Drosophila melanogaster: one gene and its partners. The protein of the gene in region 2 purifies or fractionates together with the protein of the main gene of each other region. This does not show direct contact. Each region holds a gene or a part of one and is shown on either strand. Other genes may lie near its edges.

Region 1 (3,584 bases), on a different chromosome or scaffold from region 2:
CAGAAGCATATTTCTACAAAATAGGCATGATGAGAATGAACTTGATTTATTTTATACATTTAATGAACTATAGCTATTTTTCACAAGCTGAAGCAAATAAATTATACCAGTTATCATACAAACCCAAACGCAACTCTCACTGCAAGTTGGTTGAATGTTGCACAGTGCAGATCGGTGGGCGGCGAATGCCTCCAACTGGGGCGTTATGGGCACGCGGCTGACCTCCGGAGCGCTCGATGCGTCGCGGGTCAAGCGGAACCGTTGCGCCAAAAGGCAACCAAGGATGGCTGCAAAACAATTAAAAGCACGCAGCGCACCTTCCAGCGTCTAATTACAAATTGGAGTCATTGAATTTATTAAAATCGGCCGCGTAAATTGTGCAGCAATGCACTTGAGACACGCAAACTGATATTGTGGGCCATCGCCGGTTGGCGCTTCTTGGCTCTCATTACTCGGTCATAACTCACTGCGCCTGTCCGGTTGGTTCAAGTATCCCTAGCCACTTGAAAACCCATAAAGCCAAGTCGGCTTCCTCTTGCAGAAACATAATTGCTCGACTTCTGTTCAGCAAACTCCTTTTTTATGAAGATCTAAAGCGGTTTGTATACATACTCCGTTGGAAGTAAGTACTTCTAGTTACTAGAATATAGTTAGCACCAAGCGTTAACCTTTCGCGGCCCTTCATGCCTACTTAAATATGCAATACAAGTTACAGCTGTACATATGTATGTATATTAACCTTAAACTAGATCCATAATTCTGGATGGATGGTCAGTGCAATTTTTTGAAAAAGCCAAAATGAAGACACATCCCATTCATTGCCTAAATATGGAAATGAATTGTAAATAATTTATGTATGTTTCGATAACATTACTCCTGATACATTTTAGTAAAAGGTCCTTAGTAAAGACATTTAGTTAAAATTGGTTGGCTTGATGAAAATCGATATAAATATTTAGCTCAGAAATTGCGTGCATAAAAAAGTATTCAAAGGATATAAGTTATTTACCAGTTACCTCATAAGTGAGGAATAATTGTTTAAGCTGCCTGAAAAACCTAACACAAATTTTTTAAATAAAGAAAAATAAAAGCCTTTTAGAAATAACATGCCAAAAGTATGCAATGCATATCCAGGAAATCTAGTGATCCACCATCCACCAGTCAATCTAATGACACTATGGGAAACATTTCTTCGTAGATTTGCGGTTTTAATAGATAAAAATATACCAATACATTAACATATTTCACTTAAGGATACAGAATGAAACTCTTTGATAGTGACCATGAAGGGATTAAGAATGCGGCAATAGTTCCTCGTTTACGTAGCAACAGGAGCCGGAGCAGCTCCCTCCGGTTCGGCAGCCTTTTCTCCGTTGCCGTTCTGCGCCTTGGCTGCCGGCAGATCCTTGACTCCGGTGGAACCGAATCCTGCCTCGCCGCGCTCGGTGTCCTCCAGTTTGTCCACCATCACCAGTTGCGGATAGAAGATACGCTCGCAAATGAACTGGGCGATGCGGTCGCCATGCTTCACCTCGAAATCAACATCTGAGTGATTGAACAGGACGACGCCGAGATTGCCGCGATAATCCTCGTCCACCACACCGGCGCCCACATCAATGAAGTTCTTCACCGCCAGCCCGGATCGTGGGGCTACGCGTCCGTAGGAGCCCTCCGGAACCTGCACTTGCAGATCGGTCTTGACAATGGCCTTTCCGCGTGCCGGCACCACAACGTCGTAGGCGCTGCGCAGGTCAACTCCCGCCGCTTTGGCGGATCCCCTCACCGGCTCCAAAGCATTCTCGGTGAGTTTGGCGAATCGCAGGACGCACGTGTCGATCTTCATCTTCTTGGCAGCTGGAATGTCGGCGAAATCGGTTGATGGCATTTGGAGCAAATTGAGTTATTACAGGAATGCTTCGAAAGTACAGAGACTTTTTTCAGCTTACTTGCAGAATTCTGGTCTGAAAATAACGCGGTTTAACACAGCGTCGGAAAATTGGCGGACTTCCAGTGTTGCAAGATACCAAAAGTACAAATCGCCGAAAATCTACCAAAAAATCTTAAGTCAGCTTTGCATTTCTAAAAAACATATATACAACTATGCCTTGAGTTTAATTAAACAAATAATAAATAAAACAATAATTTAGGCATTAATAAATAAATCAAATTGATTTTATTAAGTAAAACGACCAATCACAACCAACCCTGATAAGCAACCCTATCGATATATCGATACTATTGTAGTTGATTAACACACCTCTATTTAGCACGTTGTTTTGAAAAATTCACTTGATGCGTTAATGTTAATGTGTTGATAACTGCAACTTTAAATCATGGCGAACACTTATTTCGATGAGTATGAAAACTTGGAGGTAAATAAGATTATAGATCTTCTTGTGAAACTGTACTCATAGTGACCAAACTACAGATCCACGAGCTCATGCTGAAGGATCGTCCTCGGCAAGAAGCCTACTACAATGCGATATTGGGGAATAAGGATCTGTTCAAGGACAAGATCGTAATGGATGTTGGTGCCGGCACAGGGATTCTGTCCGCCTTTTGTGCGAAAGCAGGAGCCCGTTTGGTCTACGCCGTAGAAGCATCCAATGTGGCCACCAAAGTTGCGCTGGATTTGATTGAGGATAACGGCCTGACGAACGTGGTGAAGGTGATCCAGTCGCGTGTTGAGGAATTCGTACTGCCTGCCGAGGCGGAAAAGGTGGACATCATTGTGTCCGAGTGGATGGGCTTCTACCTGCTGCACGAGGGCATGTTGGACTCGGTTCTCCTGGCCCGGGACAAGTTCCTCAAGGAGGGTGGACTCCTGTTCCCCAGCGAGTGCACAATTTTCGTGGCACCCTGCTCGGTACCATCGCTCTTCGATGATTGGCACAACGTGGACGGCATCAAAATGGACACGTTTGCCAGAAAACTCAGAACCCAAAAGTCATCCCGACCGGAGATTACACAGCTGAATCCGCAAGATCTTCTGCACGAGGGCGTCGTCTTTCACTGGATGAATCTGCTGGATGTGGAAGCCAGCGATTTGGACAGCATTCAGTTCAAGGAGGTAATAACAGCCCAGAAGGCGGGCAATCACCAGGGCTTCTGCATTTGGTTCGATGTACAGTTTCCTGGCGAAGATTTTGTTCTAAGCACATCGCCGCTATCCCCGCCAACGCATTGGAAGCAGTGTGTAGTCGTCCTGCCCGAGGAATCCTGCGAAAATCTGGAGGAGAAGTCACCCATTGCATTTCAAATCACAATGAAGCGCAGTGCTGCCGATATGCGTAAATACAATCTGGAGGTGGATTTGCTAGACCCCAACACAGAGGAGCATCCAGTGCCTTGCTCCTGTCACATGACGAAGTGCATTCTGACGGAAGCTCATCTAAAAATGATGGACACCTCATGAGTTACATGCCATCTCGGAATCCGAACAACGATCTGTGGGGAAATCAATTTATTTAACATGTTTAATACAAATACAATATATATCTCAGTCAAACTTAACGTCTAGTCCAGCACTTTCAAAAATTTAATTAAAATAACGCAGGCCGACGGCTTTAAATCAACAACCGCTG
Region 2 (4,971 bases):
GCATGCTGAGTTCCAGAAATCGAAGACCCTTGGAAATCCCCAGTACGACATTGCCTTCAAGGGTACACCATAGAACGACAACTGGTTTAGACAAGATCAAATCTTTGGAACCGGTTATGGACTGCATTTATGTTTTATTCATTCCATGCGAAAAATTCAATAAACCAAGTGCATCAGGCATCCTTGACCAGCAGATTGTAATTGGGTCGACCCAGGCTCCGTGTACGCAGGAACTCCGCCTGAACCTCGGCCTCCATGTAGAAGGCCATCACAGCCGGATCTCGTTTCATGCGTTCCAGCCAAAGGGTCTGAAAAATGGTATACTAATGTACTTCATCACTCCTGGGATACACGGACCTGCTCACCAGCTGGGGGAAGCGACTCTGATCGTAGTTATAATCCTCTCCACGCTGCAACTTAAGGAGCTCGAGGCGCTCACACCAGGGCCAAATCATATAGTCCAGAATGCCCGTCTGCTCGCCACCAAAGAATTCCGTACCACGTCGAGCCAGCTCCCTTTCGTAGATGTCCAGGCCGCTCCAGAAGGGCTCCAGATCACCGCCATCGGATGCCTTGAAGAAGGCACCTAACACCGCTCTAAATCGCTCGATTAGTAACTTGTCCTGCACTTTCTTCAGCGGATCACGTGGATAGAGTGGTCGCAATGGATACTGCTCGTCCAGATATTCACAAATCAGTAGCGACTCTGTGAGCACAGGTGGTCCAGGTTCTCGCACGATTTCTAGAGCCGGCACCTTGCCCTGTGGATTCTTCTCCAGCAGCCACTCCGGCTTGTCTGTGAGATTAATGTAGATGCTGTGATACGGGATCTGCTTGGCGTCCAGGACCAGATGCACCCGTTGGGCAAATGGGCAGAAGCGCATCGAGTACAGGCGAAGGATACCATCTTCGGGAACATCCGGCATGGGTGAGCCTAGTGGGCGCATTTATTATCAATTATGATTATCCTGGTTTCCTGGCTCTACCCACCTTTTGCCAAATGCCTGCCGTTACTCATGATGTGCGTGCTCGGGTCCAGAGATGCAAGTGGTGATAGCGATTGTCATTCGAGTGATTTATAAAGTGCAGCTCACTGCCCTTCGCCGGTTGGCTTCGCTTACGCGGCTGAACTTGGTGGCTTGCGGCTGACACACATACCAAGCCATGTGGATACAGTGAAGCCCCCTTGCAACCTGCATATTGCTCCAAAATATTTGTTTAAAACAAAACTTTTTAAGAACTAAGTTTTTCGAACCACGTTCTGTGAATCTGGAACGGAATTCTTGCCTTTCTAGCCTTAATTCATTTCTTTGTCACATAAAATATTTTAGTTTTTATTGTTTTTAGAACATTATTAAATCTCCTTTGTTATATAATAGTTTCATTTTCAGTACCGATCTAAGCCAGCAGATCGTAGTTTGCATTGCCGGCCTTGCGGGTGCGCCAGAACTCGTTGTGCTGCTCGGGAGTGGCATAGAAGGACTGCACCACCGAGTCCGCCTTCAGGAGGGCAATCCACTTGGTGATCTTCGGGAAACGACTCTCGTTGAAGTTGTACTCCTTCTGCAACTTCAACTCGATTACAGAGAGGCGTTCGAACCAGGGCCAGATCATGTAGTCCACGAATCCCGGCTTGTTGCCGCCAAAATATGGGGTGCCCCGCTTGGTCAACTCCTCCTCAAAGATATCAAGTGCCGTCCAGTAATCCTCCAGACCGGTGCCCTGCACAAGGATGTTTATGAAGGCACTGGTGATGCTGCTGAAACGTTCCAGCAGAATCTTGTCCTGTGCCCGCTTCAATGGGTCCTTGGGCAGCAACGGATTCTCCGGGTACTTATCGTCCAGATACTCGGCAATAATCAGCGACTCGATGAGCGAGGGCTCACCCTTCTCCGCCACCAGCTGCAGGGCAGGCACCTTAAGCAACGGACTCACTTCCACCAGCCACTCTGGTTTCTCGGTGAGATTGATGTAGACACTGTGATAGGGCACATTCTTGGCGTTCAGGACGAGATGAGCCCGCTGAGCGTAGGGACAGAACCTCATGGAGTACAGGCGAAGGACTCCATCGTCAGGGAGTACAGGCTTGGGGGAACCTAAAGATAGAATTTATTTACCAGTTAAATTTAGGTTATACAAATAAATCAATAACTTCATGAGTCACTTGTGGAACCCTAAAATCCACCCCTGTATTATTATTTGTTTAGCAAGTCATTGCACTTAAGTTAATGTTGATAGGGCCCAGTCGTGATAAAGCTCAAATTTTGTAGCTACGTTATCTTTTAGAGTGTAAATATTATGGGTTATCTGATATCGGGGTGAAAGCTATAGCTAAAAATGTAAGTAAATTTTACAAATCAAATAATTAATTTAATGCATTACCTACAATTGTAAAAGAATAAAGATCGTATTGAAATTTACCAAATAATATACCTTTCTAACTTTTTAACCAAAAAATCCCAGTTATTCATGCCAATATTCTTTAACATTATGAAATATAAAAATCGTTATTCGATAATTACGCTGAATGTTGGAGAACTTGTTTTATAAATAATACTATAAACACTCTAATGACATGGGCGTTTCTCTTGGCGGCGGCGACAACTGGTTTTGCTTGCTCTCTTACCTTTGGCCAAATGTTTACCAGAACTCATTTTGTTTAATTGCAGAACTGAACAAATTCGCTTAACTGTTGAAATGTCGACGGTGAAATGCGAACTGAGTTTTCTCTTCGACGGCGCTCTGTTTATATAAAGTTTTTTGTTTGTGTTTTAACGCGAATAAGAATAATCGAGCTTTTTGCGACGTGACTCTTAGTTTTCGTTAGCTTTTAAAAACGATTTCTCATCGCAGACGTTTATTTCGATTTAAAACGCTTTACTACATTTGCGATTTGTTTTGTGGGAAGAGACAATCATTTCCTCCGCATTATACATAGTACATCTACTTAGTTTGTTAATAATCACGCCTGTTTGTAAATATAGATATATTTTGTTTTTACATGGTTTGGGGGGAGCTTTATTTTTGTTTTTAATTGAACCTCGGAACTACTACGTACATTTAGAGTTTTAAGTTTATGAACTTTTCGTAAAAAGTTTCGATCGGCGGACTTTCGAAATCAAACTTAATCTATGTACAAAAAAGTTCTCGAAATTTCCGTTCATGCCTTACAAAAAATACAAAAAAGTATTAATACATATACAACAGAGTTGCTGACATCATTGAGTCGCGATAAATAGTTGTTATCAGTAATTGCATTCGAAAAACCAAATTGGAAAGTAATAAATAATGACAACTACACTTGCTGCTGGAATTAATTGTTTATCAAAATGTAAAAAGATCCTTTCGCTGCTTTTGGTCCTACAAATGGGATTTCTTTTGATGCATCCTTTTGAAAACTCAAGTGGATGATTAATTTTTAGTTTTTAATTCATTTTAAAAATGTCCGCAAATGGTAAACATTAAAATTTAATGATTAAACTGTATCGTTTTTTTTCCCGAATCAATTGCGCGTTGTTGTTACGGTAAATACATGGGATAAATAGCTAAAACTAAGTAAATACGTACACTTAAAAAAATTCTACACACTGGAGTTAAATGTTGCTTTGCTTTCGTTTCTGAATTTCTTGCTTTGTCTTGTTTTGCATCGTTGCCTGACGATTTCCATTCTAAGTTTCGTTTATAGTTTCGTTAATTTTTTTTTGTTCGCAATTTGTATTTTGTTTGTTGCTCTATAAAATATGCAAACTGGTTGCATTTTGATCACGGTTCTTGCTGTTGCATATAAACATCCATCTCACTTTTGATTATTGGAACGACTTGAGATTTTTGAAAATGAATGAAGAATATGGCTGTTTTCAAATTTATCCATGGGCATCCGGTTTCGAATCCTTCAGCTTCATTCGCCAATGGTCCAATGGTTCTTTGAAGTTGATCCCTATGGCTGGCCTTAGCCATTCGGTGAGGTGGATGCTCCAGGAGATGTGGTTGTGGCCACTGCATCGCTGTTGCTCATCTTGTGCAGCATGAGGGAGTGCGTCGATCTGGTGGCGGTGGAGCTGGGATACTTTGGCTGCATTTGGCTGTTGGACACTGTGGAAGAGCTGCTGGTCGCCGGCGGTGGCGGTGGCTGCTGGCTGCAAGTGAACAGAGTTCATCAGTGTGCTTTTGCTAGCCCTTAGGACACACACCCCTTCTGCTCGCCATCCTTCTTGCTGTTGAACATGGCCAACTCGATCTCCGTGTGCTGGCTGTTCATGTGGCGCACCCACTCCGCCGGCGTATCAAAGGATCTGCACATGGGAAAGGGAGTTAGTATATATTTTGCTTCTATAACTCCAAACACTTACGTGGAACACAAATCGCAGAGCAGAGTTACGTGATCGTGATCCATATTGTTCTCCTGTTGCTGAAAAACACAATATATAATCTGGTTTTAATACATCCAATAGATATTGGTAACCGATCATCACTACGAGTTAAAATCATACTTCAGTAGATTTGGATTTATTAAAGGGATGAGTTGCTGTCCAAGTACTCACCGAAACGCGACGTCGTTTCTTTGGCACATAGGTTTTAACAGATCGCAGGGCGAGGTTGCTGGAGGCGGATGTGGTGCTCCCGCTGGCACTGGATGGCAGGAGATTCCTCTCCGTGCCGCCCGTGGGATCGCCGGCATGTGTGCCCAGGTGACGGACCAGCATTTTGGTGTCCTCGAAGGACTTCTGACAGATCTCGCAGACCAGCAGCTGCTTGAAGTTGTTATAGTCGCGCAGCGTGTGCTCCTCGCTCTCCTCGGAGGGTGTTCCGCGATCCCTATTCACCTCCAGCTTCACGGCGGACATCTTGAAGTCGAGTGGCTGCTTGGGCGAAGCCAATGGCAACTCCTCCAGATTGTTGTTGTTGGACGCACTGGAGGCGTTTGGTGGGTTGTTGCTCCAGTCGGTCGGCTCCTGTTTGATGGTGAGGAAG
Region 3 (7,303 bases), about 11 Mb from region 2:
GCCACCATTCGCATTTCCGCTTGCGTGTGCTGTGTGAGCACTTTGCCTGTTGCGCTTTCTGGCCTGCTCTTTGATTGCATTTCATTTCTACTTTATTATCCGCATTCTGGACGGCTCCTGTTTTTTCCATTGGCTCAGCAGCTTTGCTGCAAATTTCATTGAGCCCCAGCCCGGATGCAATGGACCATAAAGGTGCAGCGGCGGGACAATTGGCAGCATTGGGCCAAAAGGCCACATTGCCACACAATGGGGAGTGCGGAATGTTGGAATGTCGGATTGAACAATGCGATTGAAGGCTGAAATTCGACGGGCCGTCTGTCAATCAAAACATCCTCGACGGACAGAGATAGACGTTCCTGTTTGATGCAAAAATATTGGTATTTCAAAGGTAATGTTAAGAGTAGTCGAGCTGAACGGCCATACCAAAAGACATATATCTGCTAAACCATTTGAGTGAATTAAAAGATATAGTATATATAATTTTTTGCTATGAGGAAATATATGAAAATGGCGAAACAAGCAAGACTTCTCTTATGTATACATGTAAGTTTTTGTTAGTTGCTTACCTGTAATTACTTCTCACGTAATGAAAACAGTGTGTACTTATTTTTCTGATTGTTTTGTTCCACATCCTGGAAAATCGCACCCTTAAAGGACCCCAAAAAACATACGAATGCCCCAGGCCATTTACCGAAAACACAAATGATTTGTTTTTCTTAAATTACACCATTTTTCTGCTGGCAACTATAGCAATTTCCGAAAAAGTAACTTGCTTATTCATGCAGGTTTTCGCGACTCTGAAGACAAATGTGCGTTGGAATATAAAATGCGGTTATTATTATTTTCTGTTCTGAAGCGGCGATTGTTGGGCAACATGCTGCTAATGTCTGGCGCAACAAGAGGCTGGCCACTTGTTGCTGGTTGCGAATGTAAACAGAGAAGTGTGTTTCACAAATTCTCTCTTTTGTACACCTTGAAAAATATTTGGTGACCGTTCACAGGGCGGATGAGTAATACTCGCTCTGCTGGCCACAATTTATGACGTTTGCCCCTTGGCAATGTAAGCTGATAAGCATTATAAAGTGTGAAGTCAACTTATCTTTGGCTACGGAGAAATCTGTGCACACACTGCCACTATAATTTATGGGATACCCATATCATGGAAAAAGAATTCGCTCACTTAGGCATTTATTTTAAAATATGTATCCTTTATTCTTTATTGCTCTTCGGTTGCATTCAATCAGCTTTCGCATATATGGTATGTTGTACACAAAAAATACACAGAGATATATAGTTAGAATAATGTGGATTTAAGTAACTCCATGTTGCACAAACTTCAAATGCATAATAAAGCATCAGCTTTAGTTGCATTTAACAGTTCGTGTTGCACGATTTTAATCGGTTTCTTTTTAGTTTTGAGGCGACTTGTTCTTACAATAAACTATTCCATTCTTCAATTTGAAATACACAGCGAAATGCAAACAACTTTCTTAAAGTTAATTACTCAATTGTTAATCTGTTTGAAAATGTATGTTAAACATAGGCAATGGCATTAAGAACCAAACGACTGACTGTCTGACTGACTGGTTGGCTGACTGACTGACTGACTGGCCTAGTGACTTGACTTGGTTTTGACTTGACTCTCATTGAGGAGGACTTAGGCGAAAAATGCTCTTCATCTGCACACATTCCAATTGCAAATAGGGTATCAAAAATACTTATCATGGCTTTACATTACACTTTAGTTACAAAAATATTTAAAATTTAATACCGTTAACAAAAATACTTGACGATCAATTACACTTTTGGAAAAATTCGCTTACACTTTTGGAACAAAACTAAACTCATTTACAAGGCATGTTTGAGGGAAAACAAAAAGCGTATGATGTATGTTGTAAGTTGTGTGTCGTGTGTGTTTGTTGTGTGCTGTTCGGTGTGCCAATTAGGCCCAGTCCTTTTTGATCTCAAAGGTCCAGTCCCACTCCAGGTGTATGTGCTTGTCGTCATCCGTGAAGACCGAACTGACCGAGTAGGTGCCGCGGGAGAATGTGCCTGAAGGTGCCTCCTCGGCGGGCGTCAAATAGAACTGAATCTCCTTCTTCGGCGGATAGGAGCCAACCATATGCTTCATCTTGTCAACTATGGAGTAATGCGAAAACAGTCAGTTTAGTAAGGATACACATTTGCGGATGGGCTGCACCAGCTTACCCACAACTTAAAAAATTATACATTCCGAAATTAGGGTTTGGCATTGGAGATAATGGAATACAAGTTATTCTCAACACATGACTAAAGTTAGTATGGCAATTGTGAAAAAAAGGATATAGGCAGCACTGCAAAATCCCACCAGTATGGTTGTGCCATTGAACCAGCTTTTACCCATTGCTAGAAACAAAACTCGACTAGCCCGCACAAAAGTCAATCAAAAACTGAGGTGTAATACTAACGATTTCGCGTCAGCACGGAAAATTGAAGACCTAGAAGTGCTCGCATAGTGTAACGTATGGAAAATAACTAAAAACAAGTATCTTTTGACCCGGTTTTAATTTAATTTTATTCTTACAATACTAGGGCACTAGGTCAGTAAATAAATAAATCAATTAATAGAAAATTAGGGTAGGACAAAAAAGAAATATAATTGCTTTGCCCTAAGTAAAGACATATAATGTTGATAGAATTGAGAGTGTAAATCTATTCTATATTCTGCCAATTAAAAATACAAATGTCATGTTTAAATACTCACCATTAACACCCAAGCGAGAAGTCTTTTGAACATACTTAAGGCCATGGACTATTTCACGCTGCACAATAAAATCAATGCGCACCTTGTACTGAACACCTTCTTTGATCACAAAAAGCTGTCGCAATAGGGTTTTGATTAACAAAAGTAGTCGAATGGATGATGATGGTTAATGATATTTACCTGCTTTTTCAGCTGACTAAGGTCACCGGTAAGATCCAATTCCATGTCGTCGCGTCCTTCGACAACGAGGGCCAGTTTCTTTACAATAACTTTTCGGGGATCATTGGGTTCTGGGTAAAAATGTTATTGCTTTAGTATATTCTGCACCCTCCACTTTCAGAGGCCAAGTTAACCGCCCCTTACCAACAATAATTTTCTCGGTCTGGGCGGCACCCAGGAGCGCCTCCTTGTAGCGCCGCAAGCTCTCATCCTCCTGATCGGCGGCCATTATTTCCTCGATGGTCTTCTCCGGCGGCGCCTGGTAGTTGGCATCGTGGACATCGTCGTCGTGGTGCTCGGGATGGTGCTTCGTCTCTGTTTCGGCCATGATTGCTAACCTAGAACTGTCCAAAGGCAATTGTTTGTTTATCAATCAATTACATTTAAATATTGCTTCGGATTTTGCTTAGTATGCGTCGGTTTCTCTGGGTGAAGCTTGTGGGTCATAGGCATATTTTTAGTAGTGTGAGTAACATTTTGACGATAATGATGTTGTTTTATACACATATGTATATGCCTCCATTTTAATGGCATGTGCGCCACCATATCTGCTACATCGTATCGGAGTGTATGAAAGTATTCCTCATTCAAAAAATGTAGGAAGAGTGTTTTTTCTTCTGAAAATTGTCGCCCTAAGGAGAGTTGAGCTCATAACTTAACAATGCAGGGAAGAAATTCGAAAAAAAAACCTGCCATCTAAATATATAGTTGAGTAGTTAGTACATTTGTTTCTACAAATTACAATGTTAAATATTGAAATTCAAATAACAACGATCGCAAACATATTCCATATACTTCGCTACTGATTACGTTATCATTCGCTGGCCATAAAGCGGGTTTATTTACTTTTTTGGCAACACGAGTGCCTCCGTTGCGAACAAATGTAGCCACTTCATAAGCCCGTTCAATAATATTGATTAAATTTCAATTATTAACGCATTGATGAACTGACGTGTTCTCTGTCTAGGGGGCGGGGCAGAGAGGGGCGCTCGACCTGCAGCTGGTCCGCTCGCAAAGTAAAAAAAAAGGTTCAACCAAATACGGAGCGGCAGTTAGATAAGGCAGGCGAACTCGACGGAGGGAGAGAGAGCGGATATCGGCATTGAATAATATTGACCAGAACTGGGAACTGGCGACAAAAAGCCAAACCCACCGCCCCCCGGAAAATGGCTTTATTGTTATCTTGCTTTGTTTTCCACTATCTAAATACACGTCGCCAGCTCTCTGTCCATTTTCAACGAATGTTGTTGGGCCAATAATAATTCTCGATTCTCCAGATTTGGCTTTATATATATGTACATACATATGCAGTGTACCCGGGCAAAAAAAATACATGAAATTGAATTGTTATTACTTGACATCGAGTTGTTGTTGAGGTAATAAAATTGTGTCTATACAAAACGATTTTGCAGGCCCATGTGTACATACAGTAGTAATAATGATGTATTTCTCAATTTTATACAAAACATATTTTGAAATTCTCAAAGCTAATAAATATTTATCTATCTATCTATCTGTTTTTTACTTGTAAATGTAAATATTATTGGTGCTTAAAAATCAATAGTTTGAATCTTAGTATCGGTTTTTAGATCTCATCGTAATATTTCCAAATTAGGCATATGAAAAGCACTCACAATTTCTCTCCGTGCTTGTGTGGGAATGGCAAAAAATAATAAACAAAAAATTTTCGGACTAACAACGCAAGTTTGGGCCAATAAATACAATCGCAACAATTAAGGATGGGTGAGAAAAGGTAATTTCAAGAACAATCTGACCGAACTGAAAATTTGAATTCCAAACAAATGTGCCAGCGTCGAAGGAAGTGCAAGCGAGAGGGCTTGCCAGAGAGAGAGAGAGAGAGAGAGAGAGAGAGGACCCCCCGCCAAAGACAAAGTGTGGGGATAATTCAGGGAAAAGTACGAACCATGCCACTTTTTTTTCTTCTCTTTTTTTGATAAAGAAATGTGCACGAAGAATGTTAAAACCCCAGACGAATGAATCACACACACCAGCTCACACACACACACACTCACACTGAGGCCGGCACATGAATCGTCACTGATTTTCAAGTAGAATTTTTGGGAGTGGTTCTTGGCCTGCAGTCACCCAACTACATACATTTGCTATCAATGCCAGCTTGTATTAAATTAATATAATAATATTATAAATATTTTTTTTATGTAAAATGCATTGGAAGGCACCGCACTCACACACACACACAGTTGCAAGTTGGCAACGACGCGCACTCACCTTTTAATATGCGAAATTAATCAAATAGTACGATCTCTGAAAATTAATCACTGAAAAGTAACTGTATGTTATATTTTTAACAACTTTTGATAACTAACTTTTAAACAAAGCAAATAATATAAAATAAGAATTACAAGTGTGAACGTATGCTTTGGTGGACAGAATACCAAAACGCGAGATGGACTTGAAGAAGTCATCCGTTCACACTGCTGTCCAAAAATACTTGCTTTTCGAAAAAGTTTTTAGTTTTGAAACAGCTTCCCCTAAATCTATTTTATACTTTGTAAGTATGGGTTTAAAAAGAAATTATTAATTAGTTTAACGAATCTTGCTGAAATGCAATTTCTAATAAGAATCGCTGTTTGGTCATTGTCTGCAACAGTCTGGCAACGCCGACAAACAGCTGCTTGTTACTTCATCGGCGATTTCGGTGTGCAAGTTGAAAAACACAATTTACTCCGTTAATTTACAATGACATCCCAGTACCTGAGCCAGCTAATAACGGCCGACAAATTGTCCGCCGAGCCCTGGCCCGAAGACGCCACCCTCTACCAGGTAAGGTCCTGGTTTATAGGTCCAGAATCTTCACTAACATTAACCTTTCATTAATGTGCATTAAAAAAAACAGCCGTATGAAGCGGAACAGATCCTACTGCCGGAAAACGCCAGTTGCCTTGCTGTGAAGGCTTACCTGAAGATGTGCAACCTCCCCTTTTTGATTCGGTCCTGTGCCAACGCGGAGCACATGTCGCCGGGCGGCAGGATGACCAAGTTGCCCTTCATCCGCGCAGGAGCATTCATCTTTGCCGAATTCGAGCCGATCGTGAACTTTGTGGAGCAGAAGGAACTGGCCATTGGCAGCTGGCAGGACGAGGACGAGAAGGCCGACATGCGCACCTATGTGTCGCTGGTGGAGAACATCTTCACCATGGCTGAGCTGTACATTAGCTTCAAGAACGAACGCGTCTACAAAGAGGTCACAGCGCCCAGGAACGGAGTCGTTTTTCCCTGGCCCCTCAATCACATGCAGAACTATGGAAAGCGGCGGAACGCGCTGCGTCTGTTGAAGGTCTATCAGTGGGACGACCTGGACATCGATAGCGTCATTGACAAGGTGGCCAAGTGCTGTGAGACGCTCGAATACAAGCTGAAAGAGTCGCCGGAAACGCCATTCTTCTACGGCGATCAGCCCTGCGAACTGGACGCCATCGCCTTCGGCCACCTCTTCAGCATTCTGACCACCACGCTGCCGAACATGGCGCTGGCCCAAACGGTGCAGAAGTTCCAGCACTTGGTCGAGTTCTGTCGCTTCGTCGATGAGAAGTACTTTCAGACGAGGTGCCTACCAAATTAGTTATACGTAGTCGTTGCCTTAAATGCTTATCAATTAAGTTGCTCTTGTCCTTTCTTTTTAACCGCTTATATATGCAATTCTAAATGCCCTTAAAACAAATCGTCGCCGTAAGTCACAATTATTTTGCTACTAGCATTTAAAAAAAAAAGTTGTTCTAGTGATTTTGCTGCCATTAATGTCCAAAAATCCATGTGAATATCATTTGCACAAGTGACTCAATCTGCAAGTTTGTTTAAATGGAATTCTAAAATACTTCTAACGATCTTTACTTCATTTATTTTGCAGCAAATAACTTTTCTGCTAATAAAATTGTGTAAGTATTTGCTATAATACATCAAATAAATTGTTTTCTTAGCAAACCAAAAAAAAAAATAGTCTTGATTTTTGAACATTGCTGCCTTTTCCTTTTCATACTTTTGAAGAAATTGAACTCTCGTTTATGTAAAGACCTTAAATACACATATAGTTTTATTGATTTATTGTTATAATTAATTTAGATTATTATTATGAATGCAATGTACACATCTTTGCATGCAGATGGCCGAACCAATCGCGCCACTTGTGATATTTGCTAACGCAATCATACAAAACAATCAGATGATTCTCGAAAATAAAAGCTTAACAATTTGTCCAGGTTTAGCAGTTGGTCCATTAGCAGTTGGCCCAGTAGAAGTCTTAGTTTCCAGCCTGATTCACTGCCGGTCCGGATAGTTCGTCGTTGCCTGCCGCCGGAGCAG

What was found. The genes of interacting proteins can lie anywhere in the genome.
Region 1: the proteins of GstO3 (region 2) and dUTPase purify together in Drosophila melanogaster (affinity purification with mass spectrometry, with the first as the bait; one large-scale study listed by BioGRID). This does not show direct contact.
Region 3: the proteins of GstO3 (region 2) and RhoGDI purify together in Drosophila melanogaster (affinity purification with mass spectrometry, with the first as the bait; one large-scale study listed by BioGRID). This does not show direct contact.

What each region holds. Positions count from the first base shown.
Region 1 is NT_033779.5:11,009,742-11,013,325, reverse strand, and holds dUTPase (deoxyuridine triphosphatase), read right to left. Parts: upstream 2,015-3,584; 5' UTR 1,886-2,014; coding exon 1,319-1,885; 3' UTR 1,191-1,318; downstream 1-1,190. Other genes in the region: Art8 (arginine methyltransferase 8), read left to right, coding at 2,334-2,372, 2,429-3,415; Nup154 (nucleoporin 154kD), read right to left, coding at 3,567-3,584.
Region 2 is NT_037436.4:8,516,637-8,521,607, reverse strand, and holds GstO3 (glutathione S transferase O3), read right to left. Parts: upstream 2,724-4,971; 5' UTR 2,655-2,723; coding exon 2,627-2,654; intron 2,097-2,626; coding exon 1,399-2,096; 3' UTR 1,313-1,398; downstream 1-1,312. Other genes in the region: GstO2 (glutathione S transferase O2), read left to right, coding at 1-73; se (sepia), read right to left, coding at 174-308, 366-934, 991-1,018; CG6765 (uncharacterized protein), read right to left, coding at 3,950-4,136, 4,191-4,292, 4,350-4,408, 4,542-4,971.
Region 3 is NT_037436.4:19,926,818-19,934,120, reverse strand, and holds RhoGDI (RhoGDI), read right to left. Parts: upstream 5,379-7,303; 5' UTR 5,213-5,378; intron 3,307-5,212; 5' UTR 3,291-3,306; coding exon 3,107-3,290; intron 3,034-3,106; coding exon 2,924-3,033; intron 2,859-2,923; coding exon 2,744-2,858; intron 2,431-2,743; exon of another isoform or gene 2,384-2,430; coding exon of another isoform or gene 2,279-2,383; exon of another isoform or gene 2,209-2,278; intron 2,140-2,208; coding exon 1,943-2,139; 3' UTR 1,191-1,942; downstream 1-1,190. Other genes in the region: CG46462 (uncharacterized protein), read right to left, coding at 2,279-2,383; CG8004 (uncharacterized protein), read left to right, coding at 5,684-5,767, 5,841-6,566; Grasp65, read right to left, coding at 7,242-7,303.